Xenopus tropicalis: one gene and its partners. The protein of the gene in region 1 binds, or shares a complex with, the protein of each later gene. Links are inferred from orthologs where the notes say so. Each region holds a gene or a part of one and is shown in the gene's direction. Other genes may lie near its edges.

What was found.
Region 2: dab2ip (region 1) and dcp1a share a complex: the UniProt entries of both Homo sapiens proteins name them as parts of the cytoplasmic complex. The link is inferred for Xenopus tropicalis from reciprocal best matches to the Homo sapiens genes DAB2IP and DCP1A.
Region 3: dab2ip (region 1) and arhgef6 share a complex: the UniProt entries of both Homo sapiens proteins name them as parts of the cytoplasmic complex. The link is inferred for Xenopus tropicalis from reciprocal best matches to the Homo sapiens genes DAB2IP and ARHGEF6.

What each region holds. Positions count from the first base shown.
Region 1 is NC_030684.2:9,045,378-9,056,307, forward strand, and holds the start of dab2ip (disabled homolog 2-interacting protein), read left to right. Parts: upstream 1-4,641; 5' UTR 4,642-4,912; coding exon 4,913-5,033; intron 5,034-10,930. UniProt on the Homo sapiens protein: Functions as a scaffold protein implicated in the regulation of a large spectrum of both general and specialized signaling pathways.
Region 2 is NC_030680.2:150,710,759-150,721,514, forward strand, and holds the start of dcp1a (mRNA-decapping enzyme 1A), read left to right. Parts: upstream 1-5,318; 5' UTR 5,319-5,376; coding exon 5,377-5,511; intron 5,512-10,756. UniProt on the Homo sapiens protein: Necessary for the degradation of mRNAs, both in normal mRNA turnover and in nonsense-mediated mRNA decay. Removes the 7-methyl guanine cap structure from mRNA molecules, yielding a 5'-phosphorylated mRNA fragment and 7m-GDP.
Region 3 is NC_030684.2:69,142,746-69,152,353, reverse strand, and holds the end of arhgef6 (rho guanine nucleotide exchange factor 6), read left to right. Parts: intron 1-4,307; coding exon 4,308-4,407; intron 4,408-4,848; coding exon 4,849-4,903; intron 4,904-5,578; coding exon 5,579-5,701; 3' UTR 5,702-6,258; downstream 6,259-9,608. UniProt on the Homo sapiens protein: Acts as a RAC1 guanine nucleotide exchange factor (GEF).

The sequences.
Region 1 (10,930 bases):
AGGGGCCCCTGCCGCATCCCTTTAACCCCCTGCAGGGGCTACATGCCCACAGACCGACAGCCCTGGGGAGCACTGGCAGGGACCATGTCTTGGGCGGTGGGGCCCACCGGGCTTTCCCTGTGTCCCACCGCCGCAGTCCGACCCTGCCAACTGTTTTCGCTGAGTCCCCCCACTGTTGCCCCCCCATTGCTTAGGGCATTCTCCATCATCTTCAAAAAACCCTCTCCCTACTAGAGATCCAGTAAGGCAGATGCAGACTACATTTCCCAGAATCCTCCTTTAGCCAGTAATAAACCCCTGCTGCTCCCCAAGACCCCCCCGTCAGGACACGGGCAGATACCCCCCCCCCCGGCCAATCCTAGATAAAAGCGAGACAGGTGAGGGGCGGCTGATCTGTTTCCCTATTCATGTTTCTCTCATTATGTAATCAGAGAGGAAACTGCCCCCCGGGGGGGTAAGTATTTAATGCACCCAAACTTCTCACTAAGGCGTCTCCTTTCAGCAAATTCTCACGTTACACCCCGCGAGGAACATTAGGCGCACATCACTTGTACCCCGGGGGTCACTCTCCGGCTCCATATTTGGGGGGGGACATGGCTGTTGCCCCGGGGGAGCCGTGTAAGTGCTGCACATAAAAGCTCCGGCTCCGACTTTGGGGTGCAGGGCTCACCGGGGGTTCTCTAAAGCGGGGTCTGCTTCCTCTAGCTATATGTGTGTGTGTGTGTATATATATATATATATATATATATATATATATGTGTGTGTATATATGTATATGTGTGTGTATATATATATATATATATATATATATATATATATTATACATACATACACACATATTTATATAATATAATATACCCACGGTGAGCAGTTGTCGCTTATTTTACTGGGAATGTCACTGCGAATCCCCCATCCCCCTGTGTGCAGCCCCCGGGGACCCTGAGCCTTTTATTGGCTTCTGCAGTATATATAATAAATATATGGCACTTGATCCTGAGCTGGAGCAGCCATGATTCCCGACATGGATCTTAATCCCGTGCTTTATTGCTCTCTGCAGTTTGTAAAGGGCAAGGGAGAGAGCGAAACGCGTGAGGCAGAACAACTGCTTTATGGAGAGGGGGAAGGAAATTAATTAGCCCCCCCCGCGGATTTACCTATTGACTAGGCGGGGTCTGTAACCGGGGCAGAGAATGGGGGAGAGCGGGTATAGGGAGGCAAGATGGGGTCAGGTGATGGTGGTTGCCAAGGGCTGTCAGGGGTTGCTGGGAGTTGAAGCTGGGTGGGGTTACAAGTAACTGGGCCCCTCAGCACTTAGTCGGGGGTTTTGGTTCCTCACCAAAATATTTTTAGTGCTCCCCCAGGGTCAGACTGGGAGAAAACCCCATGGGCCCCGCTGACCCAGACCCGATCCTTGTCGGCGCTCCCTTAACTGACCTCCCACCCCCAATTGCACCTAGGTAAGTATCCGATATGAATGCCCAGGAAGGGGTCGGACCCTGGGCTCCTCTAACATACAGTTGGAGGTAACCAACACCCAGGGTCAGACTAGGGGGTGCATGGCTGCCCCAGGGGCCCCCGCTACATGCCCACAGACCAGCCGCCCGGGGTAGGACCAGCAGGGATCGTGCCCCACGGTTGCTCCCCCATATTGATAATATAGGTAATATAAGATATATGGATAAGACCTCCAACCTGCATCTATACCCGCATCCAAAAATCCTACCCATAGCCCCAGTGTATCTGCTTTTTTTGAGGGAAACCTGTGGGGTACCCAACCTGCTGCCCCAGGGGTCCCCGCATCCACCAAGGTGCCCCTGCTACATCCCCCTAACCCCCCAAGGTGCCCCTGCCACATCCCCCTAACCCCCCAAGGTGCCCCTGCCACATCCCCCTAGCCCCCCACAGGGGCCCCTGCTACATCCCCCTAACCCCCCACAGGGGCCCCTGCTACATCCCCCTAACCCCCCACAGGGGCCCCTGCTACATCCCCCTAGCCCCCCACAGGGGCCCCTGCTACACCCCCCTAGCACCCCACAGGGGCCCCTGCTACACCCCCCTAGCACCCCACAGGGGCCCCTGCTACATCCCCCTAGCCCCCCACAGGGGCCCCTGCTACATCCCCCTAACCCCCCACAGGGGCCCCTGCTACACCCCCCTAGCCCCCCACAGGGGCCCCTGCTACATCCCCCTAGCCCCCCACAGGGGCCCCTGCTACATCCCCCTAACCCCCCAAGGTGCCCCTGCCACATCCCCCTAGCCCCCCACAGGGGCCCCTGCTACATCCCCCTAACCCCCAAGGTGCCCCTGCCACATCCCCCTAGCCCCCCACAGGGGCCCCTGCTACATCCCCTAACCCCCACAGGGGCCCCTGCTACACCCCCCTAACCCCCCGCAGGTGCCCCTGCTACATCCCCTAACCCCCCACAGGGGCCCCTGCTACATCTCCTTAACCCCCCACAGGGGGCCCCTGCTACACCCCCTAACCCCCCACAGGGGCCCCTGCTACATCCCCTAACCCCCCACAGGGGCCCCTGCTACATCCCCTTAACCCCCCACAGGGGCCCCTGCTACATCCCCTTAACCCCCACAGGGGCCCCTGCTACATCCCCTTAACCCCCCACAGGGGCCCCTGCTACATCCCCCTAACCCCCACAGGGGCCCCTGCTACATCCCCTTAACCCCCCACAGGGGCCCCTGCTACATCCCCTAACCCCCCACAGGGGCCCCTGCTACATCCCTTAACCCCCCACAGGGCCCCTGCTACATCCCCTAACCCCCACAGGGGCCCCTGCTACATCCCCTTAACCCCCCACAGGGGCCCCTGCTACATCCCCTTAACCCCCCACAGGGGCCCCTGCTACATCCCCTTAACCCCCCACAGGGGCCCCTGCTACATCCCCTTAACCCCCCACAGGGGCCCCTGCCACATCCCCCTAACCCCCCGCAGGGGCTCCTGCCGCATCCCCCTAACCCCCCGCAGGGGCCCCTGCCACATCCCCCTAACCCCCCACAGGGGCCCCTGCCACATCCCCCTAACCCCCCACAGGGGCCCCTGCCACATCCCCTTAACCCCCCACAGGGGCCCCTGCTACATCCCCCTAACCCCCCACAGGGGCCCCTGCTACATCCCCCTAACCCCCCGCAGGGGCCCCTGCCACATCCCCCTAACTCCCCAAGGTGCCCCTGCTACATCCCCCTAACCCCCCAAGGTGCCCCTGCTACACCCCCCTAACCCCCCAAGGTGCCCCTGCTACATCCCCTTAACCCCCCACAGGGGCCCCTGCTACATCCCTTAACCCCCCACAGGGGCCCCTGCTACATCCCCTTAACCCCCCACAGGGGCCCCTGCTACATCCCCTTAACCCCCCACAGGGGCCCCTGCTACATCCCCTAACCCCCCACAGGGGCCCCTGCTACATCCCCTAACCCCCCACAGGGGCCCCTGCCACATCCCCCTAACCCCCCACAGGGGCCCCTGCTACACCCCCCTAACCCCCCACAGGGGCCCCTGCCACATCCCCCTAACCCCCCACAGGGGCCCCTGCTACATCCCCTAACCCCCCACAGGGGCCCCTGCCACATCCCCTTAACCCCCCACAGGGGCCCCTGCTACACCCCCCTAACCCCCCACAGGGGCCCCTGCCACATCCCCCTAACCCCCCAAGGTGCCCCTGCCACATCCCCCTAACCCCCCACAGGGGCCCCTGCTACATCCCCCCTAACCCCCCACAGGGGCCCCTGCTACACCCCCCTAACCCCCCACAGGGGCCCCTGCCACATCCCCCTAACCCCCCGCAGGGGCTCCTGCTGCATCCCCCTAACCCCCCAAGGTGCCCCTGCTACATCCCCCCTAACCCCCCACAGGGGCCCCTGCCGCATCCCCCCTAACCCCCCACAAGGGCCCCTGCCGCATCCCTTTAACCCCCTGCAGGGGCCCCTGCCGCATCCCTTTAACCCCCTGCAGGGGCCCCTGCCGCATCCCTTTAACCCCCTGCAGGGGCTACATGCCCACAGACCGACAGCCCTGGGGAGCACTGGCAGGGACCATGTCTTGGGCGGTGGGGCCCACCGGGCTTTCCCTGTGTCCCACCGCCGCAGTCCGACCCTGCCAACTGTTTTCGCTGAGTCCCCCCACTGTTGCCCCCCATTGCTTAGGGCATTCTCCATCATCTTCAAAAAACCCTCTCCCTACTAGAGATCCAGTAAGGCAGATGCAGACTACATTTCCCAGAATCCTCCTTTAGCCAGTAATAAACCCCTGCTGCTCCCCAAGACCCCCCCGTCAGGACACGGGCAGATACCCCCCCCCCCGGCCAATCCTAGATAAAAGCGAGACAGGTGAGGGGCGGCTGATCTGTTTCCCTATTCATGTTTCTCTCATTATGTAATCAGAGAGGAAACTGCCCCCCGGGGGGGTAAGTATTTAATGCACCCAAACTTCTCACTAAGGCGTCTCCTTTCAGCAAATTCTCACGTTACACCCCGCGAGGAACATTAGGCGCACATCACTTGTACCCCGGGGGTCACTCTCCGGCTCCATATTTGGGGGGGGACATGGCTGTTGCCCCGGGGGAGCCGTGTAAGTGCTGCACATAAAAGCTCCGGCTCACAGCTCTCTCATTGTGTGAAAGTCTCACCAGGCTGCGGATGTGTGTTTGTTTTTCTCCAACCCTGACAGATTTCCCAATTCACTCCATTCCAGCCCTGGACTCTTTCCAAGCCCTTATCTCCGGGAAACCCTCTGCCCGGTAACGGAGCTATGCCTGCCAGGAGCTGCAAACTTTTTCCCTCTTCTGTGAGGTTTATTTCCCCTTGAAACCGCTTCAACTGGATAAAAGTTTTGGGGGGGGGGGGGTGCGACGGAGCTTGCAAGTCCCCTTGTCCTGGAGAAAGTGGTGCCAAAGAAGCTGAAATGTCTCTGAACGGCCGGAGGGGTTCTGGCCGGCCCGGCTATTACTACAGGTTAATCGGTCGATCCCAACTGCAGAGGCAGCGCAGCCGCTCCAGGAGTCGGAACAGACCGGCGAGACGGGGTAATTAACCTTTCCTGTGGTTCCTTGTGATAGTAAAGGCAAAGTATTCCCCTAACCACCCTGATTGTTAGGAATCCTTACTGTAAAGGTCCCCATACACGGGCCGATTGTAGCTGCTGATATTGGTCATTTGGCAGCTTATTGCCCCGTGTAGGGGCAGGAACGAGGGGCCTGCCCGCCGATATCTGGCCTGAGATTGGCCAGATATCGATTGGCCAGATATCGATTGGCCAGATATCGATTGGCCAGGTTAGAAAATTCAGTCGGATCGGGGACCACATTGGCTCGTTGATGCGGTCCCCAAACCGACTGCCCCATTGCCGCCAATATAATTCGATTGTTTGGCCCCAGAGCCAAACGATCGAATTGGCCTACACGCTCCCTGATACCGCCCACCCGTAAGTGGGGATATCGGGTGAAGATCCGCTCGCTTGGCGATCTCGCCAAGTGAGTGAATCTTAACGTGTGTGGGGACCTTAAGTGACCTATCAGAACTGTACCCCCTGCTGGCAGTGTGCAGACTTCTATCTGTCACCCAAACAACCCCCCCACCTGTACATTCTCCACTCTTTTGTGCTGGTCGGAGCTTGATTCCTATAACCCGGTACAGAAATTCCTACAAATGGGAACAGGCTCGTACTAAATTCTATATCTATTCTGTATCCTTGTTCTATATCTCCGGCACCTAGGCCTGTGTATGCACAATGTTTCCCAGTCTAGATTGGGGCCGACCGTGTATCTGTTGAATGCTGGGGGGTGCAATTATAAAAGTCACACAGACACTGCGTCATTGACTTCTGTGCTTCTGTTTACTGGCCGTCGTACCTTCTCCCTGGTGCCGGGGGCACTGCACATGCTCAGTAAGTAAGTCTCAAATATGAAGGCAGCATAAAGAGCAGACCACAATGCAGTGTATTGCCCAGAATTCCAGTGTAATTGTGGATGCATACAGGGTCCCAGTGGACCCTGGCCCTAGTGGAACTGCAAGCAGTGTCGGACTGGCCCACCAGGATACCAGGAAAACTCCCGGTGGGCCCTCCTGCTCCTGACCATTTGGCCTGTTTCATGCTCATTCCCTATTTCTGAATGGGAACAAAGAGTAGAAATAGATGGAGGAATAGATGCTAGCATGTAAAGTAAAGAGATTAGGAGAATAAAGAGGTTGGGTGAGGAAAGGAGGAAAAATAGTTTGGAAAGAGGGCCTGGGGTCTAAGGTTTTCTGGTGGGCCCCTGGGTTCCCAGTCCGACACTGACTGCAAGGAGAAGTCCAGTACACACTGGGGTGGAGGGGGTTGACTTTGAGTGTAGCAGCTTCCAGCTGTGGCCCCTAGATGGCAGACCTGGTGGGCCCTGGACACCCCAATCCAAAACTGGATGCAAATTAAGTTCCGTTCACCTCAACTTGCGTTCCTGATGTTCCTATGTTAGCAGGGTTCCCCAACCAGTGGCTCTCAAATATTTTGCCTACCGACCCCTTGCATGTTGCTCCCAGTGGCCTCAGAGCAGGTTTGGAGGCATAAAAAACAGTTGTACTGCCAAACAGAGCCTCCAATAGGCTGCCAGCCCACATAGGGCCTACCAAATAACCAATCACAGCCCTTATTATGTACCCCCCATGTGTTGAACCCCAACTCTTTTTGCATTTGTTTCTTTTTCTTTAATTGCTGTTAACCAAACTTTCCCACTGAAGGTATAGTTAGTGCTTCTAAAAAAACATATTTGCTACACTGTCCCTTTAAATATTTTCCAACCAGTAATTGGTTGGGAAAGAATGTCTGTTGTAAAGGGTTAACCCCCTTGGGATCCGCCGTCTTCCAAATGTGGCAAAACTGCCCTAAAAAGCTAATGAATATAATAATGGTCTCTAAAATTAACTTAAGTGGGCTCGAGAGGGAAGAAGCGACTTATGTTTTTCAGTTCTAGAGGTTCCGGAGTATTGTGTGAGCTTTGTAGCAATAGGAGCCACTGTGGGTTGCATTTGGGCCAGGATAAATATTCTGTCCAGCCAGAAGGAAAATCTATTTTTGGGCTGCCCTCCCTTAAGTGCACCCATGGGACTTTCACATGTTTTCCCTGTAATCCCATTGGATATCAGCAGAAGAACTATAGCAGCAGGGAATGGAGACGTTGGCATCTCAAGGGTAGATGTGTCAAGGTTCATGCAGGGCCACAGCTAGAGAGGAGGGCAACACAAGAAGACTAGGAGCCCATATTGGGTCCATCGAGTCCAACTGTTCAGCTGGCAGGGGAACTCGTCCAAGAGTTGCCGGGGTTCTAGAGCATATTGGTGGGTTTGTCTAGGTATCACTCTGACAGTTATACACGGGAGGGGTGGGTTAGGTTTTCATGCTTGTTGGAAACAGGTAGGGTTGAACTTCTAGAAAGTGGACAATATTGAGAGTTGCGTCAGCCTAGAACCCTACTATTTGCCTTAGGCACCATTGTGGACAATGCTAAAAACCAGCTGGTGGCATCTAACATAGGTTTCTGATGACACCCCATAGATGTATAAACATGGCTATGCCAGTTACACAGTCCCCAGGCCGGCCAGTTCACTAGCCCATGATGCCGCTCAGCTTGCCCGTGCCGTATATGTACTTCTCCATCATCCTACTCCTACTTCTCCGACATCCTACTCCGGGAGATTATAGAGTGCTCCTCCACCTCACCTAATCCTCCACGCTTCAAATATTAATGAGCCTCGGAGGAGACGGCTCTGCAATGGGGGGAACAATAGGATGAAGACTTTAGAGACAGATGAAATGAAACGGAGCGTTGTTGCTGGAAGTGACTGCCAACGAGAGACTTAAGCTCTCCAGGAGAAGTGGTTATCGCTCTGTGTCTCAGGAGCTTCACTTACAAATGTCATTTCCACGCGTTTTACAGCTGCCTGGGAACTGGCACGATTAGCTGGGCGCAATAATGGGATTTGCATCCTCTCCTGTCAGCTCTCGGGGCTGCGTTGCTTTCATGGGCGTTGGGGGAAAGTCTGATGGGACCATCCCTGGTTGGTGGCTACACCTGGTCATGGTCGTTCGGCCATATATGAAGGGATGTAGCCACATATTAATGCCCATATATTTCCCATTGCTATTAAGCAGGGGCAACCAAAAGAAACAGAGTGACTAGTTTGATTGGGAGCTCAGAAATACAGAGGGCTCGGTGAGAGTCCAGGCTAAAGTCGTAGATGGACCAGTATCTTCTTCTTCTAGTTATGCCCTGTAACGTTATGCTCACCATGTTGCTCGTTATCTTATTAAACAATTAGCTTGTACCAGTTGGGAGTAGGTTGAGCCTTCCATTGACTCTACCCAAGCAGTGTCGGACTGGGGGGCTCGGGTAGGTGGTTTTTAACCAGCCAGCACCAGTATTACACATTGCCCCCTTTCCTAACCTTCTACTTCCTAACCCCACCCACAAAACAATGTCACGGCCCTCCCCCAACCCAAAGGCTGGTATTATAGGTGGCAACCCTATGCCAGGGGTCCACCAGAAAACCTTTGACCACAGGCCGAATTTTTCTGTCCCTTTTCAATCACTTTCTTTATTCTCTTCATCACTTCTTCCATATAGTCATCTATCCTCCCCTACATTTCTTCATCTAGAAATGATGAATGCCCATGATTTTAACATATAAGACAAATGGTTGGTTGAAAAGGAATAGCCAATGAAACCATGGCCCGCCATGAGTTCTTCTTGTGAACTGGTAGGCCAGGCCTACACTCAACCCAACATTTAGCCAATGAAACCATGGCCCACCATGAGTTCTTCTTGTGAACTGGTTTGCCAGGCCTACACTGAACCCAACACCTAGCCAATGAAACCATGGCCCACCACGAGTTCTTCTTGTGTACCTGTGGGCCAGGCCTACACTGAACCCAACATTTAGCCAATGAAACCATGGCCCGCCATGATTTCTTCTTGAGAACTGGTAGGCCAGGCCTACATTTCTTCTTGTTTTCATATATGAATGGTGAATGCCCATGATTTTAACATACAAGACAAATGGTTGGTTGAAAAGGAATAGCCAATGAAACCATGGCCCACCACGAGTTCTTCTTGTCTACTTGTGGGCCAGGCCTACACTGAACCCAACATTTAGCCAATGAAACCATGGCCGCCATGATTTCTTCTTGAGAACCGGTAGGCCAGGCCTACATTTCTTCTTGTTTTCATATATGGATGATGAATGCCCATGATTTCAACATACAAGACAAATGGTTGGTTGAAAAGGAATAGCCAATGAAACCATGGCCCACCACGAGTTCTTCTTGTGTACTTGTGGGCCAGGCCTACACTGAACCCAACATTTATAATATTACCTAATCACCTTGAATTGCCTGAGCCCATTGACCCAAACCTGGCCCAGTACTGCAAGTGATGTCACAGTCAGCTGGGTGGGAGGAGGAGCATAAAGACCAAGGCCAAGTTGGACAAGCTCCCTAGAAATGAAAGCTACTCAGTGTTGGCCGTAGTAAGGGAGATAATTAGATTCTCAGCGCAGAAATAATCTCCCTGTATAATGAACTCCTGCTAACAAACAGTCGCAACAAAGAGTGAAGGGAATAGATGACTACAGAAAATGTATCTACCTTGCAAGGACCAAACATGGAGGAGCTTCAGTTTCCCTTTTTGGCTTATTAAATAACAAAAACAATGGGGTAGGCGATATCGGATTGATCCGATCCTCGGCCAAACTAGGGTTGCCACCTTTACCCGCTGCTAACACTGGGCAGGGGGAAGGTGGTGGCATTACAGAGGGTGGGACAATGACATAATGAAGGTGGGGCATCAACATCATGGGGTGGGGTTATGACATGACCAATGCTGATCCCCATATCAATCTTGGAGAGTCCTGCCTGGTTTTCCTAATGTCCAGGCAGTTTTGACCTGGACAGCCAGTGGAACCCTAAGCCAACTTTGATAGGATGCAGGCCACCAGGGCTAGGACCACATCAACCCACCGATGCACCCCTTGCCCCGACGGAATTTGTCAACCTGCCTGATTGAAATCTGGGGGGTATCGGTGGGGCAGGACTTCCTTCTCCATCCACAGCTCCAAGAACCAGTGGAACCAATACAGATATGGGATGGATATAATATCAGTTTAGCAGCGAATGACTTGTTCTTCTACTTCTTCTCCTCGATGGAAGGTAAAGGGTAAACGTTCTGGGCCGTACTATTAGTCGGATAGTGACAAGGAGTAATTAGTACGGCTGCAAACATGGAGCTGCCGTTATTTTATGATTAATTAGGAAAGAATGGCTGTTCTTTTATGATTGTTTCTGTTCATTGTTGTGTTCCGGCAGGCTTGCTGGGCACTGGCGCGTGGAATTTTACTGCTGCTAAATCTGCTTGGCTCAGCAAGTCACGCCGTATATTATCCTCTCCTTTTCATGTCATTACAAATGCCATTTGTCTCTCCTAAAATCGACTGAATTCCTCTCTCCAGTAGCTCTCCAGTTTCTACTTAGGTGCTAAGTGCTCTATTCAATACACAATGTTGGACTGGGGTGTCTGGGGCCCACCGGGGCTGCAACCTGGGGCCCACCGGGGCTGCAACATGGTTCCCCCCACCGCCTATCACACTTCCTCCTTGCTGCCATGATTGGAGGAGGGAGTGTCCATAGTTACACTCCCCAGGGGCCAGCGGCCAACCAGGCCTTTTTCCAAGTGCCCCACCAGTCGCAACACCAGCCTCCCCTTCTTGGCAAAATGGTTTAGGGAGCTGCTTTCTTGGGACCCCAGGATTGACAGGCCCTGGGCATTTGAACTTTTAACAGCATCTAAAGGCCAGAAACTTGGGCTACCAGTTACAGAGTAAAGCTGGCCATACATATACCGATTTTCCTTTACTTACCAACCAATTTTAATGCAAGGTAAGGTCGTTAATGGTC
Region 2 (10,756 bases), on another chromosome or scaffold:
TAGTACAGGGGGAGTAAAAGAGTAAAGGAGTAGTACAGGGGGAGTAAAAGAGTAAAGGAGTAGTACAGGGGGAGTAAAAGAGTAAAGGAGTAGTACAGGGGGAGTAAAAGAGTAAAGGAGTAGTACAGGGGGAGTAAGAGAGTAAAGGAGTAGTACAGGGGGAGTAAAAGAGTAAAGGAGTAGTACAGGGGGAGTAAGAGAGTAAAGGAGTAGTACAGGGGGAGTAAGAGAGTAAAGGAGTAGTACAGGGGGAGTAAAAGAGTAAAGGAGTAGTACAGGGGGAGTAAAAGAGTAAAGGAGTAGTACAGGGGGAGTAAGAGAGTAAAGGAGTAGTGCAGGGAGAGTAAGAGAGTAAAGGAGTAGTGCAGGGAGAGTAAGAGAGTAAAGGAGTAGTGCAGGGAGAGTAAGAGAGTAAAGGAGTAGTGCAGGGAGAGTAAGAGAGTAAAGGAGTAGTGCAGGGAGAGTAAGAGAGTAAAGGAGTAGTACAGGGGGAGCAAGAGCATAAAGAATTAGTACAGGGGGAGCAAGAGCGGAAAGAAGTAGTACAGGGGGAGCAAGGGTGTTGAGAAGTAGTACAGGGGGAGCAAGAGAGCAAAGGAGTAGTACAGGGGGAGCAAGAGAGCAAAGGAGTAGTACAGGGGGAGTAAGAGAGCAAAGGAGTAGTACAGGGGGAGTAAGAGTGTAAAGGAGTAGTACAGGGGGTGCAAGAGAGTAAAGGAGTAGTACAGGGGGTGCAAGAGAGCAAAGGAGTAGTACAGGGGGAGTAAGAGAGTAAAGGAGTAGTACAGGGGGTGAAAGAGAGTAAAGGAGTAGTACAGGGGGAGTAAAAGAGTAAAGGAGTAGTACAGGGGGAGTAACAGAGTAAAGGAGTAGTACAGGGGGAGTAAGAGAGTAAAGGAGTAGTACAGGGGGAGTAAGAGAGTAAAGGAGTAGTACAGGGGGAGTAAGAGAGTAAAGGAGTAGTACAGGGGGAGCAAGAGAGTAAAGGAGTAGTACAGGGGGAGTAAGAGAGTAAAGGAGTAGCACACAGCATAAAAATGTAAGTAGTAGAAGAACAGGACAATGTATTACAAATAGTGAGAGGATTTAAGGTACCAATTAGCCACTGGGCTGCAATGACAATGTACCACTGACACGCTCACCCCTTTTCAGAGTATGGAATGATTATCCTCCCTGGCACTGAGAGGGTTAATACAGGCTGTCTGTACTACAAAAACACAAAGAAGAAATATTTGTGGAGTAACCTGAGACGGGGCCTGATGGGTTTGTACTGGATCAGCTTCCAACGGTTCCATTATTCCCACTCACTGGGCTGCCATTGGGCTCCTGTAAGGGCCACTGCCCAAAGAACAATGGGGTAATTCTCTAGGGTGTGGCCCTGCGTGGGCAACATGGGAATACAGACAGGTACTGACACAGTGGGAGAACTAAAGGGGCAGAACAGAGGGGCCGGGGCTGTCAGATGAGACTGCTGCTTTTAAACCTAAAGCTCATGAGGTAAATGAGTTCTGAGTTAATAGGGGTCCAATATACAGTTACACGACTCATACAGGTTCTGGTACCAGTACAACTGCTGGGGCAGGAACCATGCAGGTAATAAAGATGCTCCAGGGGGTGAACAGGGAGTCGCTGGCTTGTAGTATCACCCTCTGCTGGGCTTTTATACTGTGTTTATTTACACCTCATTAACAGAATCACAACACATTCCAACCATATCTCTGCAATCACAGATCCTATCTGATCCCCCCATTGTAAGCAGCAGTCCTGCCCTGCTTTATGGCTGAGATTCTAGCTATCTGTATAACAGAGCATTCTGTCACAGTGGCACAGATCCTATCTGATCCCCCCATTGTAAGCAGCAGTCCTGCCCTGCTTTATGGCTGAGATTCTAGCTATCTGTATAACAGAGCATTCTGTCACAGTGGCACAGATCCTATCTGATCCCCCCATTGTAAGCAGCAGTCCTGCCCTGCTTTATGGCTGAGATTCTAGCTATCTGTATAACAGAGCATTCTGTCACAGTGGCACAGATCCTATCTGATCCCCCCCCCCATTGTAAGCAGCAGTCCTGCCCTGCTTTATGGCTGAGATTCTAGCTATCTGTATAACAGAGCATTCTGTCACAGTGGCACAGATCCTATCTGATCCCCCCATTGTAAGCAGCAGTCCTGCCCTGCTTTATGGCTGAGATTCTAGCTATCTGTATAACAGAGCATTCTGTCACAGTGGCACAGATCCTATCTGATCCCCCCCATTGTAAGCAGCAGTCCTGCCCTGCTTTATGGCTGAGATTCTAGCTATCTGTATAACAGAGCATTCTGTCACAGTGGCACAGATCCTATCTGATCCCCCCCCATTGTAAGCAGCAGTCCTGCCCTGCTTTATGGCTGAGATTCTAGCTATCTGTATAACAGAGCATTCTGTCACAGTGGCACAGATCCTATCTGATCCCCCCATTGTAAGCAGCAGTCCTGCCCTGCTTTATGGCTGAGATTCTAGCTATCTGTATAACAGAGCATTCTGTCACAGTGGCACAGATCCTATCTGATCCCCCCCATTGTAAGCAGCAGTCCTGCCCTGCTTTATGGCTGAGATTCTAGCTATCTGTATAACAGAGCATTCTGTCACAGTGGCACAGATCCTATCTGACCCCCCCCATTGTAAGCAGCAGTCCTGCCCTGCTTTATGGCTGAGATTCTAGCTATCTGTATAACAGAGCATTCTGTCACAGTGGCACAAATCCTATCTGATCCCCTCCAAGCAGCAGTCCTGTTCTGCTTTATGGCTGATTTGAAAAAATGTGGAAATGCACAAAAGAAAAAAAAATAGTAGGATATAAAGGATTATGGGATATAAACAGGACATTATAACGACAACAGAAGACAGCTGAAGCAGTAAAAGCTTTAATGCAGGCAGTTATATACCTGTTTCTCACCCACCCTGATTCTGTTACCCTACATAGGAATAAAGGCAACTTCCTTACCTTAACAGGACAGACGTTGGATCATGGCTCAGACAGACATAGCAACAATGGGGACAGTCATTCTTCCCCAGGCAGACAGACAGTTATCAGCACCCAGGGCAGGGCCAGAGGTAACTCACACTGGTACTCATGGATCTAGGGCATTGAATTACCTGTTTGCACCAGATCACTGTATCTAGGAGCTGCCCAATCAATTATTAATCCTCCCAGCGACATCAGGAGAGCACGGGACCCATTTTCACCTCTTGGGTTTCGGGATTAACGTTCTAAAGGGGGAAGCAAATATCTATGGGCAAATTCTAGCGCACCCTTGGGCAAAGCTTAGCGGAGGGTAAAATAAAGGGGAGCCCTGGCAATCTAGGGGAGTTGGGGAAACTTTTTGCAAGGTAAGCAGAACTTATTGAACCAAAACACTCCTTATGTTTCTGTAAAGCATCATCTGCCGCCTCAGTGTATATCAGCGGGGGTTCAGATACCTGTTATATTTGGTTTGGGGCTGGAATTGACTTGGGAGATGTGACTATATTGCCCTGCGCCTCTGTATGAAACACAAGGGGTAATGAAAATGTTTCCCCAGTTCTAGTGACTGATAACAACTAATCAGCACTTGGCATCAGTAGAGCTGGTGTTTAAAGGAGAAGGAAAGCTAAAACCTCAGTAGCTTCATCAGAAAGGTCTATGTAAATACAGCCATAAGCACTCACAGAAACGCTGCACTGAGTCCTCTATCAAAAGAAACACAGGATTTCTTATCTTCTTCTGCTGCGCTGCAAGTTGGAGTGATATCCCCCCCCCTCCCCCCCAGCAGCCGATCAGCAGAACAATGGGAAGGGAGCAAGATAGCAGCTCCCAGTAGGTATCAGAATAGCACTCAATAGTAAGAAATCCAAGTCCGGCTTGGGACTCCTCCAGTTACATGGGAGTAGGAGAAACAATAGGTTAGCTGAAAGCAGTTCTAATGTGTAGCGCTGGCTGAAAGCTCAGACTCAGGCACACTTTACTGCTGCGCTGCAAGTTGGAGTGATATCCCCCCCCCTCACCCCCAGCAGCCGATCAGCAGAACAATGGGAAGGGAGCAAGATAGCAGCTCCCAGTAGGTATCAGAATAGCACTCAATAGTAAGAAATCCAAGTCCGGCTTGGGACTCCTCCAGTTACATGGGAGTAGGAGAAACAATAGGTTAGCTGAAAGCAGTTCTAATGTGTAGCGCTGGCTGAAAGCTCAGACTCAGGAACACTTTACTGCTGCGCTGCAAGTTGGATTGATATCCCCCCCCCCCCCCTCACCCCCAGCAGCCGATCAGCAGAACAATGGGAAGGGAGCAAGATAGCAGCTCCCAGTAGGTATCAGAATAGCACTCAATAGTAAGAAATCCAAGTCCGGCTTGGGACTCCTCCAGTTACATGGGAGTAGGAGAAACAATAGGTTAGCTGAAAGCAGTTCTAATGTGTAGCGCTGGCTGAAAGCTCAGACTCAGGCACACTTTACTGCTGCGCTGCAAGTTGGAGTGATATCCCCCCCCCCCTCACCCCCAGCAGCCGATCAGCAGAACAATGGGAAGGGAGCAAGATAGCAGCTCCCAGTAGGTATCAGAATAGCACTCAATAGTAAGAAATCCAAGTCCGGCTTGGGACTCCTCCAGTTACATGGGAGTAGGAGAAACAATAGGTTAGCTGAAAGCAGTTCTAATGTGTAGCGCTGGCTGAAAGCTCAGACTCAGGCACACTTTACTGCTGCGCTGCAAGTTGGATTGATATCCCCCCCCCCCTCACCCCCAGCAGCCGATCAGCAGAACAATGGGAAGGGAGCAAGATAGCAGCTCCCAGTAGGTATCAGAATAGCACTCAATAGTAAGAAATCCAAGTCCGGCTTGGGACTCCTCCAGTTACATGGGAGTAGGAGAAACAATAGGTTAGCTGAAAGCAGTTCTAATGTGTAGCGCTGGCTGAAAGCTCAGACTCAGGCACAAGGCACTGAGATGGCGCCTACACACCAATATTACAGCTACAAATACATTTGTTGGTTGAAGAATAAAAGGTTAAATGGCAGAGGGAATTATTTGCTGTGTAACAGGGTCATTTAGAGATAAACAGCCCCATAAACATCATGGCAGGGTCCCTTGACACTAAAGTTATTACTCAACTTTAGACAAGACTCAAAGTTATGTTTCCCCTAGGCTGGTGTACAAGTTATATGTCAACAAAACCCATGGTAAAAATAAAGTTCCCCTAAACCTTCTGTTTCTTGCTCAGACCACATTTCTGGTTGCACCAATAGGGAAGCTCGGAGCGGGCGGAACGTTGCTGGTAGGAACCATTGTGCCGGGGCTGCGGAGCTGGCGGACATTTAAGGTGTGAGCCCCACTCCAGCCCGCTGCTGTTCCGCTAGGAAAGATGGCGGTTCGGGAGAAGGCTGGGCAAGAGATGAGTCTAGCGGCGCTGCGGCAGTCTGACCCCTATATCAGTAACATAGTGGATGTGACCGGGCACGTCGCTCTCTATCGCTTCAGCCCCAAAGCCAATGAGTGGGTGAGTGGCACCGGGCGGGACCATGGGAGCGGGGGGGGGGGGGAAGTGGGGGAAACCAGCTGTGTGAGGGGAGAGTTAGGTTTGGGATGGAAGGGTCTGTTATGGAGGGAGGGGCAAAGTGACGGGGTAGGTGTGTGTGAACTGTAAGTGTAACAAGCTATAGTGTTACACAGTGACAGCTACACATAACTATAAACCCAGTGAGAATGAGGAATGAATGGATATTGGGGAGTTGTATCAGGAGTCAGAACCAGCAGTGCAGGGAAGGGAAAGGGACAGACACAGTGACAGTTACACATAACTATAAACCCAGTGAGAATGAGGGATGAATGGATATTGGGGAGTTGTATCAGGAGTCAGAACCAGCAGTGCAGGGAAGGGAAAGGGACAGACACAGTGACAGTTACACATAACTATAAACCCAGTGAGAATGAGGGATGAATGGGTATTGGGGAGTTGTATCAGGAGTCAGAACCAGCAGTGCAGGGAAGGGAAAGGGACAGACACAGTGACAGTTACACATAACTATAAACCCAGTGAGAATGAGGAATGAATGGATATTGGGGAGTTGTATCAGGAGTCAGAACCAGCAGTGCAGGGAAGGGAAAGGGACAGACACAGTGACAGTTACACATAACTATAAACCCAGTGAGAATGAGGAATGAATGGGTATTGGGGAGTTGTATCAGGAGTCAGAACCAGCAGTGCAGGGAAGGGAAAGGGACAGACACAGTGACAGTTACACATAACTATAAACCCAGTGAGAATGAGGAATGAATGGATGGATATTGGGGAGTTGTATCAGGAGTCAGAACCAGCAGTGCAGAGAAGGGAAAGGGACAGACACAGTGACAGTTACACATAACTATAAACCCAGTGAGAATTAGGAATGAATGGATATTGGGGAGTTGTATCAGGAGTCAGAACCAGCAGTGCAGGGAAGGGAAAGGGACAGACACAGTGACAGTTACACATAACTATAAACCCAGTGAGAATGAGGGATGAATGGATATTGGGGAGTTGTATCAGGAGTCAGAACCAGCAGTGCAGGGAAGGGAAAGGGACAGACACAGTGACAGTTACACATAACTATAAACCCAGTGAGAATGAGGGATGAATGGGTATTGGGGAGTTGTATCAGGAGTCAGAACCAGCAGTGCAGGGAAGGGAAAGGGACAGACACAGTGACAGTTACACATAACTATAAACCCAGTGAGAATGAGGGATGAATGGATATTGGGGAGTTGTATCAGGAGTCAGAACCAGCAGTGCAGGGAAGGGAAAGGGACAGACACAGTGACAGTTACACATAACTATAAACCCAGTGAGAATGAGGAATGAATGGGTATTGGGGAGTTGTATCAGGAGTCAGAACCAGCAGTGCAGGGAAGGGAAAGGGACAGACACAGTGACAGTTACACATAACTATAAACCCAGTGAGAATGAGGAATGAATGGATGGATATTGGGGAGTTGTATCAGGAGTCAGAACCAGCAGTGCAGAGAAGGGAAAGGGACAGACACAGTGACAGTTACACATAACTATAAACCCAGTGAGAATGAGGGATGAATGGATATTGGGGAGTTGTATCAGGAGTCAGAACCAGCAGTGCAGGGAAGGGAAAGGGACAGACACAGTGACAGTTACACATAACTATAAACCCAGTGAGAATGAGGAATGAATGGATATTGGGGAGTTGTATCAGGAGTCAGAACCAGCAGTGCAGGGAAGGGAAAGGGACAGACACAGTGACAGTTACACATAACTATAAACCCAGTGAGAATGAGGGATGAATGGATATTGGGGAGTTGTATCAGGAGTCAGAACCAGCAGTGCAGGGAAGGGAAAGGGACAGACACAGTGACAGTTACACATAACTATAAACCCAGTGAGAATGAGGAATGAATGGATATTGGGGAGTTGTATCAGGAGTCAGAACCAGCAGTGCAGAGAAGGGAAAGGGACAGACACAGTGACAGTTACACATAACTATAAACCCAGTGAGAATGAGGAATGAATGGATATTGGGGAGTTGTATCAGGAGTCAGAACCAGCAGTGCAGGGAAAGGGACAGACACAGTGACAGTTACACATAACTATAAACCCAGTGAGAATGAGGAATGAATGGATATTGGGGAGTTGTATCAGGAGTCAGAACCAGCAGTGCAGGGAAGGGAAAGGGACAGACACAGTGACAGTTACACATAACTATAAACCCAGTGAGAATGAGGGATGAATGGATATTGGGGAGTTGTATCAGGAGTCAGAACCAGCAGTGCAGGGAAGGGAAAGGGACAGACACAGTGACAGTTACACATAACTATAAACCCAGTGAGAATGAGGGATGAATGGGTATTGGGGAGTTGTATCAGGAGTCAGAACCAGCAGTGCAGGGAAGGGAAAGGGACAGACACAGTGACCGTTACACATAACTATAAACCCAGTGAGAATGAGGGATGAATGGATATTGGGGAGTTGTATCAGGAGTCAGAACCAGCAGTGCAGGGAAGGGAAAGGGACAGACACAGTGACAGTTACACATAACTATAAACCCAGTGAGAATGAGGGATGAATGGATATTGGGGAGTTGTATCAGGAGTCAGAACCAGCAGTGCAGGGAAGGGAAAGGGACAGACACAGTGACAGTTACACATAACTATAAACCCAGTGAGAATGAGGGATGAATGGGTATTGGGGAGTTGTATCAGGAGTCAGAACCAGCAGTGCAGGGAAAGGGACAGACACAGTGACAGTTACACATAACTATAAACCCAGTGAGAATGAGGAATGAATGGATATTGGGGAGTTGTATCAGGAGTCAGAACCAGCAGTGCAGAGAAGGGAAAGGGACAGACACAGTGACAGTTACACATAACTATAAACCCAGTGAGAATGAGGAATGAATGGGTATTGGGGAGTTGTATCAGGAGTCAGAACCAGCAGTGCAGGGAAGGGAAAGGGACAGACACAGTGACAGTTACACATAACTATAAACCCAGTGAGAATGAGGGATGAATGGATATTGGGGAGTTGTATCAGGAGTCAGAACCAGCAGTGCAGGGAAGGGAAAGGGACAGACACAGTGACAGTTACACATAACTATAAACCCAGTGAGAATGAGGGATGAATGGATATTGGGGAGTTGTATCAGGAGTCAGAACCAGCAGTGCAGGGAAGGGAAAGGGACAGACACAGTGACAGTTACACATAACTATAAACCCAGTGAGAATGAGGGATGAATGGGTATTGGGGAGTTGTATCAGGAGTCAGAACCAGCAGTGCAGGGAAGGGAAAGGGACAGACACAGTGACAGTTACACATAACTATAAACCCAGTGAGAATGAGGAATGAATGGATATTGGGGAGTTGTATCAGGAGTCAGAACCAGCAGTGCAGGGAAGGGAAAGGGACAGACACAGTGACAGTTACACATAACTATAAACCCAGTGAGAATGAGGAATGAATGGGTATTGGGGAGTTGTATCAGGAGTCAGAACCAGCAGTGCAGGGAAGGGAAAGGGACAGACACAGTGACAGTTACACATAACTATAAACCCAGTGAGAATGAGGAATGAATGGATGGATATTGGGGAGTTGTATCAGGAGTCAGAACCAGCAGTGCAGAGAAGGGAAAGGGACAGACACAGTGACAGTTACACATAACTATAAACCCAGTGAGAATTAGGAATGAATGGATATTGGGGAGTTGTATCAGGAGTCAGAACCAGCAGTGCAGGGAAGGGAAAGGGACAGACACAGTGACAGTTACACATAACTATAAACCCAGTGAGAATGAGGGATGAATGGATATTGGGGAGTTGTATCAGGAGTCAGAACCAGCAGTGCAGGGAAGGGAAAGGGACAGACACAGTGACAGTTACACATAACTATAAACCCAGTGAGAATGAGGGATGAATGGGTATTGGGGAGTTGTATCAGGAGTCAGAACCAGCAGTGCAGGGAAGGGAAAGGGACAGACACAGTGACAGTTACACATAACTATAAACCCAGTGAGAATGAGGGATGAATGGATATTGGGGAGTTGTATCAGGAGTCAGAACCAGCAGTGCAGGGAAGGGAAAGGGACAGACACAGTGACAGTTACACATAACTATAAACCCAGTGAGAATGAGGAATGAATGGGTATTGGGGAGTTGTATCAGGAGTCAGAACCAGCAGTGCAGGGAAGGGAAAGGGACAGACACAGTGACAGTTACACATAACTATAAACCCAGTGAGAATGAGGAATGAATGGATGGATATTGGGGAGTTGTATCAGGAGTCAGAACCAGCAGTGCAGAGAAGGGAAAGGGACAGACACAGTGACAGTTACACATAACTATAAACCCAGTGAGAATGAGGGATGAATGGATATTGGGGAGTTGTATCAGGAGTCAGAACCAGCAGTGCAGGGAAGGGAAAGGGACAGACACAGTGACAGTTACACATAACTATAAACCCAGTGAGAATGAGGAATGAATGGGTATTGGGGAGTTGTATCAGGAGTCAGAACCAGCAGTGCAGGGAAGGGAAAGGGACAGACACAGTGACAGTTACACATAACTATAAACCCAGTGAGAATGAGGAATGAATGGATGGATATTGGGGAGTTGTATCAGGAGTCAGAACCAGCAGTGCAGAGAAGGGAAAGGGACAGACACAGTGACAGTTACACATAACTATAAACCCAGTGAGAATGAGGGATGAATGGATATTGGGGAGTTGTATCAGGAGTCAGAACCAGCAGTGCAGGGAAGGGAAAGGGACAGACACAGTGACAGTTACACATAACTATAAACCCAGTGAGAATGAGGAATGAATGGATATTGGGGAGTTGTATCAGGAGTCAGAACCAGCAGTGCAGGGAAGGGAAAGGGACAGACACAGTGACAGTTACACATAACTATAAACCCAGTGAGAATGAGGGATGAATGGATATTGGGGAGTTGTATCAGGAGTCAGAACCAGCAGTGCAGGGAAGGGAAAGGGACAGACACAGTGACAGTTACACATAACTATAAACCCAGTGAGAATGAGGAATGAATGGATATTGGGGAGTTGTATCAGGAGTCAGAACCAGCAGTGCAGAGAAGGGAAAGGGACAGACACAGTGACAGTTACACATAACTATAAACCCAGTGAGAATGAGGGATGAATGGATATTGGGGAGTTGTATCAGGAGTCAGAACCAGCAGTGCAGGGAAGGGAAAGGGACAGACACAGTGACAGTTACACATAACTATAA
Region 3 (9,608 bases), about 60 Mb from region 1:
ATAATAAAACTTACTGAGATTTCAGGAAACAAAGATGGAAGAACATTTTTGCCTGATACCTTATTAGGGTAAGTTCTGTATGCATAGGCAACTGTAAAGACAGAGTTCATCTATATTTGATCTCTAGGGATGCTATTGCTTTTATAGTATTTTCTTTTTAAAGGGCACAGGGAATACCTATGCTACCGTAGACTTATGGTATCTCTGTATTGGCTTTAGAAAAATCAAGTACATTTTCCATGCGGTATAAATTGCCAATTACAGGACTTTTTTACTGACTTAACCCAATTTCAGGGCATATTGGGTATTACACATGAGGAGCCTGTTGTAGGCAATAAACTGCCCATGGGGTCATGCTTTCTTATGCTCCAAAGGAGTAAAGCTATAAATATAACTGCATTGTTCCAGTATTAAAGGAATACTGTTATGGGAAAACATGTTTTTTTTCAAAACACATCATTCTCCAGCAGAATCCTGCATTGAAATCTTATTTAATTTTGAACTTTCACATGGGGCTAGCCATATTCTTCATTTCCCAGGGTGCCACAGCCATGTGACTTGTGCTTCGATAAACTTTAATCACTCTTTACTGCTGCGGTGCAAGTTGGAGTGATATTACACCCTTCCCTTTCCCTTCCAGCAGCCAATCAGCAGCACAATGGGAATGTAACAAAAAATCAGCTCCCTGACACCAGTATTGCTAAAAGTTGTAAACACTTAATAGTAAAAAGTCCAAGTCCGGCTCATGACTACTTCAATTACGTGGGAGTGGAAGAAACAATAGGTTACCTCATAGCAGTTCTAATGTGTAGCTCTGGCTCCTTCTAAAAGCTCAGACTCAGGCACAATGCACTGAGATGGCTGCCTACACACCAATATTACATCTAAAAAAAAACATTTGTAGAAAAAAATATTAAATGGTAGAGTGAATTATTTGCCATTTAAAGAGTGTAAAAAAAAAAGTACACCATAAAAATCATGTCAGAATCCCTTTAATATTTTTCAAGCATTCCTTAAACTGAACTGATAGAGAAGACATGCATATGTAAAAGGGTTAACTAGGAGAAAGTTTCTTTTGTCTACAAAAGCAAGACAGATTTTAATCTGCTTGTTTGTGTCATACACAGGAAGCAAGAATATCTTTTCATCAGCAGTTTTGGCAACTAGAGGGATGCAGCTTTTTTCTTTTTTTTTTTTTTCTTGTGTAATCACAGCAGTAGTTATAACTTTTATGTGTTCGATATCTCTCACCATTACCTAAAAGAGCTGCAAGATATAAAATTACAGTCCCTTACACCAGCATACTCACACATACAGACAGGGATATTACTGTCTATGTCATACTAAAAAGTTATTTAAGTTCTTTCTTAAACTAAATAGCTAAAAAGGTAAGATTAGATAAGATAATTAGATTACCAGTGCATAAATAATACTCCTGCCAACACAACAGTCCCACCAGTTGGAAGAGAGGGGTTGTGTAATGGTAATCTAATTAGCTACCTCGCAAGGACCAAGTATGGAGTAGTTTCAGTTTCCCTGTTTGCCCTGTTTAGCCCAAGAAATAACAAAACAGTTTTTTGTGATTAAAACAAAAGTCAAAGAGTATGTTTAGCACAAGCCCTATTAATTGCATTCAAGTTGGACAAGCGAGTATAATGTCCCTTTAAAGGACATGTAAAGCCTACATTTGCCTACAATATATATCAGTTGGGCATGTCTCCTCCACCCAAATGGCATCATTTGTACTGCATATATGCCCTCCGCTTGCCAGCACCATCACATTTTCCTAAAGCAAATAGCAGCTTTCACCCGGTGGCCATTTTCCCTCTGATACATAATCAGATAGATTTAAATCTGCAAACATTATACACACACAGACCCTTATTCAGCATACATTTCATCAACAATGCAGGCTCACACAGGCACAACTGTCTCTGATAAAAGTTCTGCTTTGTTTGAGCACTGTAATGGTAAAGCTGAGGTCAGGAGAAAAAAATGGAAGCAGACAGCTAGAGCTGAGTTTCTATGGGAACCAGCAATGCCATCTCTTCACTGGCTGCTAGACTGGAGGGTGTGTGTAGTAATCTGAGCTTAGAACAACTGAGCATGCCCACAAGCCAACAGCCAAAGCAAATTCCTGAGGGAGGGGGCCGAGTGGGTTACAGGAGGAGAAGGAAATCTAAGTGATTAAGGGGATGTTGCAGCCTTACTATTAACCTCTGGACAACCAGTGTGGCAGGTATTGAAAGATTTCAAAGAGGCTGTCCTTTAATGGTCACTAAAGCCTCATCAAATCATAGATTACTTGTTTTATCCAAAAAACTGTTGTGCCACAGCTAACAGCCCTATATACCCCTTGAGCAACTGTTCTCGTTCCTAACCCTATATGTGACTGAAAGGAAAGAATTCTTTTAAATTCTTATTTGTAAAATACAGTTGGCAGTTGTATAAAATAATATTTTATTACAAATGCAGTTATATGTAGAATGGTGTATTGCATACTCTTGATACTTTCAGGAGAATATACAGCTTGGTGCTTTATCAAATCTTGCTAATCATACTTTTTTTGCATACATTAAAGTTTGTCTTTCCTTAATTCAACATGACCCTCTAGCAATACGTATGGCCATATAGCCCTGCATCAATATCTAAATGATATTCACCAATATGCGTTCCACTAACAATATATAGGGTTTCTTTACAAGCACAAACGCAGTGTGCAATTTTGGGTGCAAGTTGCCATGTTTTTTTACGCATGATGCAGCATTTTTTCTCATAGTTTGAGCATAATTGCGGATGTGAGGTGGCACCACCTCATCAAATATGTAATTTGATGTTGTTAAGACGAATTGCTCAAAAAAACGGTGTTGGAATGTCATAATTTCCACCACATGGCATCAAACTTCCATCTTTACCCAATACTTTAGGAGTAAGTGTGTGTGTTGTTAATGCAGGCTGCTGTGGGAGTCCTATACATGTGTTTTAGAGGGCTGTCTTTTCTACATTTCTACAGCATTCGTTTATAGAAATTCACTTTTGCATGACACCGACTTCAGAACCTATGGCATCCACCTTCCACATTATTAGACTAATATATCACTGCATGCATTTTGTGTCTAGTCCTTTGTATTGCCATTAATTATGAATGTCATCTTTGCACTGCATATGGTTATTGTAAGTGAGAGCTGCTAAAATGTACCTCAGAAGAATGACAAATTCTGTTAAAATGATGGAATGCGCAATCTCTTCTGCTCTGTTCTGCTACAAGACCCTTGTTAATTATTTAAATTCAGAGCAGGTTTCTGTAAGGGCATTTTCATGTTGATCTGAATGGATTTCCTATTTCAGGTTCTCTAATTAACACACATAAGGGAGGGGATTGATCAATTTACATTCTCTGGTCCCCCTGTTTCAGTTTAGTATCTATGCATGTAATAGTGCATGTATTTTCAAAAACAGGGGGTTTTCATTATCATATAATTGCCTAGCCATCATACCATGTCAAGTTAAACCCCATATAGTGGTCCTTACTATTTAACTCTGGCTGTATTTTTTTTATAGGCTGGCACCACCCTCAAAGTAGGAAAAGGGCCTCCTGGCCTGGGCATCAGTCACAGGGCTTAGTCATCCCCCACGATTAGCATTTATAGAAGAGATTGCAAAGACAAGTCTCTAATTTACATCTCATTGTCATATGTTGTTTCAGAATGATAAATCTGTCTTTGGTTTCCTTAGTTCAGGTACTCTCAAGTGTATACTGCTGTTTAGCTAGAATGATAACTACACTAAGCCAAATCCTTAGAGCCAAAAAAATTGTATATCTCTTATCCTCGGTACAACTCTCAATTTTTTAATTTCTCCATTTTTGCATATAATTTGTTAGAACCTTTGCATACCATCCATTTTTTCCTTTCTTTCAGCAAATCCCTCCTTAGTCATTCTTAAGACTTTAATGCTGAATTTAGCATGGTTTTCTATGATGGATCTTTACATAGTTTTTTTTAAATGTAACTTATTGATTCTGGAATTATCTGATGTCATATTTCTAAATTATATGATCGGTGACTGTGAGCCACTGTGCCATGCCATGAGGTTGTTTTGTAAACTACTAGGCAACTCAGGGTGCTTTCTTTGAAAGATGCAGTCATGGCAAGGCAAGAGAGGTGACTCATTTACTGCAGGAAACAAGGCAGTGTGGCTTTCCAGTTTTATAAGAATAGGCCAGAATATCTATGCACAGCTCCCAGATACACACTTTATTCCCTCTTATTCAGATAGGAAATGTAAAGCAGTTTGTTTCTCCGCAGGTTCACGCAAAGATTCTGTTGCACAAGTGTTGCTACTTGAGGAAGAAAATCTTATAATTGATGAGCTGAGAACCAATGGGCAAACAGTTTCAGAAGAAAAGTAAGTTGGGCTTAAAAATTATAGTAAGATTCTTACTGCCAGCATGGATTCATTTTTAAGTGCCTCTAAATACCACATCTAAATCTATCAATATCTTCCATGGGCTTATTTTCTCAGCCTTTTGCCTTTGCATTTCAGTGGAACAAACATAAAAATGACTGAGCATTACATAAAGCCTATAAAATAAGGACTGCATGTATTACTGAATAGTCAATAAATAAATATATATGTAAATACATACAGCTAAAAAAAGGAATTTCAGCACAATGTGAAGTTCTTTGTGTTCAGCCATGTGAATGATTATTCTTTTGTTGACTTTCTTAGAGAGGGGATACTAATTTTCAAAGCAAATTGCAGTGTTGAAATACAATAAGGTCGTGCTTGTATTGTGGAAATGCACTATGCTTCTGGTATTAATTATCTATCTACACTTTATTGTAGGAGCCTTGTAGATACAGTTTATGCATTACGAGATGAAGTCATGGAGCTTAAACAGGTGAAAATATGCATTATACCATGTTATTCTTTGGTGGCATTTGCAAATTCTTTTTAAGAGAAAATCCCTATGTATGTAGCATTCATTTTGTTTGTCCCTCAGTGAACCAGAGTAGCATGACATGCTTGCAACCATCCATGTGGAGATTGTGAGCCCAGTTACCCTGCCCTTCCATGATCTCTGCTGTTTATTTTAAGTGGAAGAGGCAGGTCTGGACTGAGATTCAAAATTGGCCCTGGCATAACAAGTACACAGAGGCCAAACAGCCCTCTACCAGCCCAATAAATAATGACCGTCTATGGCATCTTACAGCAGCCCCTCTGTGATTAGCCAGAAGGTACAGATTGCCCGCCTGGGCCTGGGAAGAGGAATTTTAAAATTACACTATACAATAAGCCATAGGAAAGCAGAATTATAAAGCTAATGTATTTGGCACATACTGTCCCCATCCTTATGAAATGGGAGAAAAAAAATAAAGGCGCCATGGGTCTCATGTTGCACTAATATCAGCTTTGTTCTTAATAAATAGGTTATTTCATATAGGGTGATAAATAGTTGCTATATGTACAGAAGTTTCTTTACTCCAGTCTTGCCTGTTTATTGGTTTTTTATTTTTATTGTTTTATTGTCATTTTATTGTTTTAACTAAGAAATTGATGATTTTGTATTCCAAAGGAGAACAAAAGAATGAAACAATGCTTGGATGAAGAGCAGAAGTCAAGGAAGGAACTAGAAAAAATAGTTTGGAAGATACTGAAACAAGCCAATGACTCCACACGGGATGATCCTTCCCATTAGAATTAGCTGTCAGTTTTGGTTTTATATGGACTGCATCCTTAAATTGTACTCATTTGAGGAATGCTTCTGGTCTGTGGGACTCTATGAAAAGTGTGTTAAAGCAGTTTTATTTTCCCTAATAAGAGTTTTACAGACAGATTTGTGTATATACAGAATGCACACCTAGCAACCATGAAACGATCCACCAGTATTAACTGTGTTTAATTACCATTATGAATTCTCAGTGGGGCTCTTTTTGTGTGTGCTACTATTCATTTCTAATTGGCACATCTGTAACATTAGTTAACATAGGTACCCCCTGATAATTCCCAGGTGCAGTAAACCATAGCCACCATTGAGATGTTTGCTTCTTAAACAGTGAATTTAACCAGTAAATGCTGCTTGTTGATTGGTTACTATAGGTGATTCAGTCTGTAGCAATATTCGCACCTTATATTATATAACCCCTAAATATGCAAATACTGACCTGAATAGGGACAAAGCTATACCCCCAGAATGAATACCTAACCATTCATGTAAAGTGACCTATTAAACAATCTTGCCAAACTGGAGTAGGTATATACATCAGTAAATATTGCCCTTTTACATCTCTTACCTTGAGCCACCATTTTGTTATGGGCTAAGTGCTCCCTCAGAGATCACCTGAATGGAAATAATGCAGCTCTATTTATAACAGAAAGAAGTGTGGGAGTAAAAGACCTCTGTGCACTAATTGGCTGATGTAACCTAACATGTATGTGGCTTGTGTGTGCACCAGTGGAAGCGCTTAATTCTTAAAATGGCAATTTTCTATTTAGGATTACCCAATGGCACATACTACTAAAAGTATATTTTTATGAAAATGGTTAATTTAGAAACAGAAACAGAGTTTTACATATGAGCTTGTTTATGCAATATATTTTTATAGAGACCTACACTGTTCAGGGGTATAGATTTTCTCTAATGGGCCTGACTTGTAGTAAGGTTCGGCTGGTCAGTAAGACAAGAGCACTTAGGGGCATTTTCTGCTTTTGTTAGTTAACCGGTTGACAATCACGAGGAAAACACTTGCTTAAAAAAAGAAACACAAATAGTTTTTCTGATTGGCCTGCATTTTCTTTGCTCAAAAGTGAAGGCATTAATTGGCAAAACATACTAGAAACACGGATCAACACATACATCAGCAACATGGAAACATAAGATATTACTTTATGGGAGATATTACTCATGGGCAATAATGTAAGACCAAATAAATTAGCGTGCACTTAAAATTTAAACACAAAGGGTTTTTGGGATAGTTACCACGATAAGTCTGATACAAGCTGGCTCTACAATGTTTAAAGATGCACTGAATACACAGTAAGTAAATGTATATCATTCTGCCATAATTAGGTCTATATATGTGAATGAAGGATTATTGTTCCAAGAGTACTGCTGAGTCTAGTTTGAAACTGTGTTTAATTAGGTACTTTAATTTCCACAATCATCTCAGAGAAATCACTTAAAACTGGAACCTATACTGATCACTTCAATTAGTAGAAAATGCAAAGCTGACTGTGTGTGGCCACCGAACTAGTGAACTGGGTACTACCTCCTGGTGTGCCTGTTTCTTTTAATGGGCAGTTTTTGATCTTCACTGTTTCCTTGGAAAGCTTGCAGTGACTAAGAAATGTGAGAAACATGTTTTGGCGCAGTGTTCTTGCTCCTAATTTAGTATATTAGGTTTAAATCAGTAGAATGTTTTATGGATTGCTGCAGAGGTTTTCAGCAGGCCTTAAAGGAGAAGCGAAGGCATTTTGAAATTTTATTGCCAATAGATTAATCACAATAGTGCAAGCTAGAACGCTATATTTATTCTGTAGAAAACGTTTCCATACCCGAGTAAACAGCCCTAGAATCTCCCTCTGTTTGCTTTAGATAGCAGTTGCCATTTAAGCTTGGTCTCAGTAACTTCCGTGCTGCAGCTCTGGCTTCTGGTAGCTCGGATTACACAGCACAGTTGGGAGGGGGAGAGAGGAGCAAACTGAGCAGACTTATGCCGTGCCCTGAAGGATTTTTCTGAGAGCAGGAAGTCTGACACAGAAGAACATGTATACGCAAAAGATGAAAAGAAATCCTGTGTTTCTTTTGATAGAGGACTCAGAGCAGCTTTTCTGTAAGCGTTTATGGCTTTATTTACTTAGGCCTTTCTGAATACAGCTTTACCTTTCCTTCTCCTTTAATGGAAAGCAAAATAATATATAATTTGCTTTATATAGAGGAGCCACTTTTATAGATGTGTCAGGTTAATAGGGGCTAAAGTTGGTCATACACTCTACAATTATGATCTTTCCCACGACCACTGAGTGTAGGAACGATCATTTGTTTACTCTATTAACGTTAAGAGCTGAATTGGCAAATATACAGGTAAAAGCAAGGTAATGTATTCCCATTATCTGATGATTCAGCATTAACATTACGTTTTTTTGGGCACCTTCAAAAGCACCCAGTCAAAATTTTCAGTCCTGCCCAATCAATGAGGCGACTGATATCGGTCGCCTCGTCTTTCGTGTGATAATGTCAGCGTGGTGTATGGCCACCTTTAAAAGAAAAAATCACTTCAGATAATGCTTTGATTATATACATGGTCTTCCACAAATATCAAATTACAGAGTCTATTCAGAGATACAATAGGCTAAATGGCTTACATTAAAAATGAATTGCATGCAGTGAAATACATGACAAGGTTGGGTAGGACACTGTACAACTAGAACTTTTAAAATGATATTTACAAATGTTATAAAATGTATTTAAACATATTAACTTGAATAGTTGTTGTAGGCCTTTTAAAGGGAACACATTCATATAGGGGTGTCTGATAATAAACACCACTTATAAATAAAGAATAAACTCTGCTTATAGAAAAGAGACTAGAAAATGTGAGTTACAGCATATTAAACCATTTCCTTCTGAATATTTATGAAAGGTGGCTGCATACGCAGAACGTGACTAGAGGTTATTAATTAGTATTGCTGTTCTCTGATAATAAAATAACACATACAAGCAATATTTCCACTCCTGTTTATATGAACAAAGTCAATGTGAGTATACAAAGGAAGGATGGATAAAAATGTAGCTATCTATTTAAAAAAACTAAATAGCAGACAAAATACAGTGTATAGGGTATATTTTTTCTTTTGAATGTGTTTTGATGTACTTGCTCTATAATAATATGGCAGTATTCTGGCTAATGTCTGTAATACTGTGATGCATAACATATTGTCTTGAATACAGCGCCTTTTAATATATATATATCAATATCATAGCTTTATATAAAAATTATAGGGGAGTATGGATCAAAGTGTACAGGACAAATTCATTACATTTTTTATAAGTAAAATTGTCCTTCCGTATACTTTTTAGCTTTATTCAAAAGTCATATTTTATTGCTGGCATATGCTGTTCTGACAAATATCTGCTGGTTGTATAAAAACAAAACCAAATAAATGCTGTAAGCAAGTAATTTAAGAGAAAAAATTATTTTTTCCAGAGAATGCAGCAAGAAATCTCCCTGTTTGATTTTATTCCAGCCACGTTAACACCTTTTGTTATACAAAACTTTGTGAAGCCTCAGGGAGCAGTGCTACTGTATGTAGTATCTCAGACAACTAATGTTTAAAGTTACTTGAACTCATAAAGTACTATTTGTGGAAAATGCCAGGTTAGGCTCAGGCTCTAATCACTGTGGTAATATGTGGTAATAAGCACATTTGATAGTCCGGTCCTGTAAATATGTATTTAACCCCTTATCAAAGAAAAAAAATGAGGTACCACTAGATTTTGTCATGTTTAAAATTTGTTTTCTTCTTTTGTATAACTAATTGATATTTGAGATGCTTTGTAAAGGAATGCAATTCATAAGTAGCTATTTTTTAGCCCCGCCCATAAA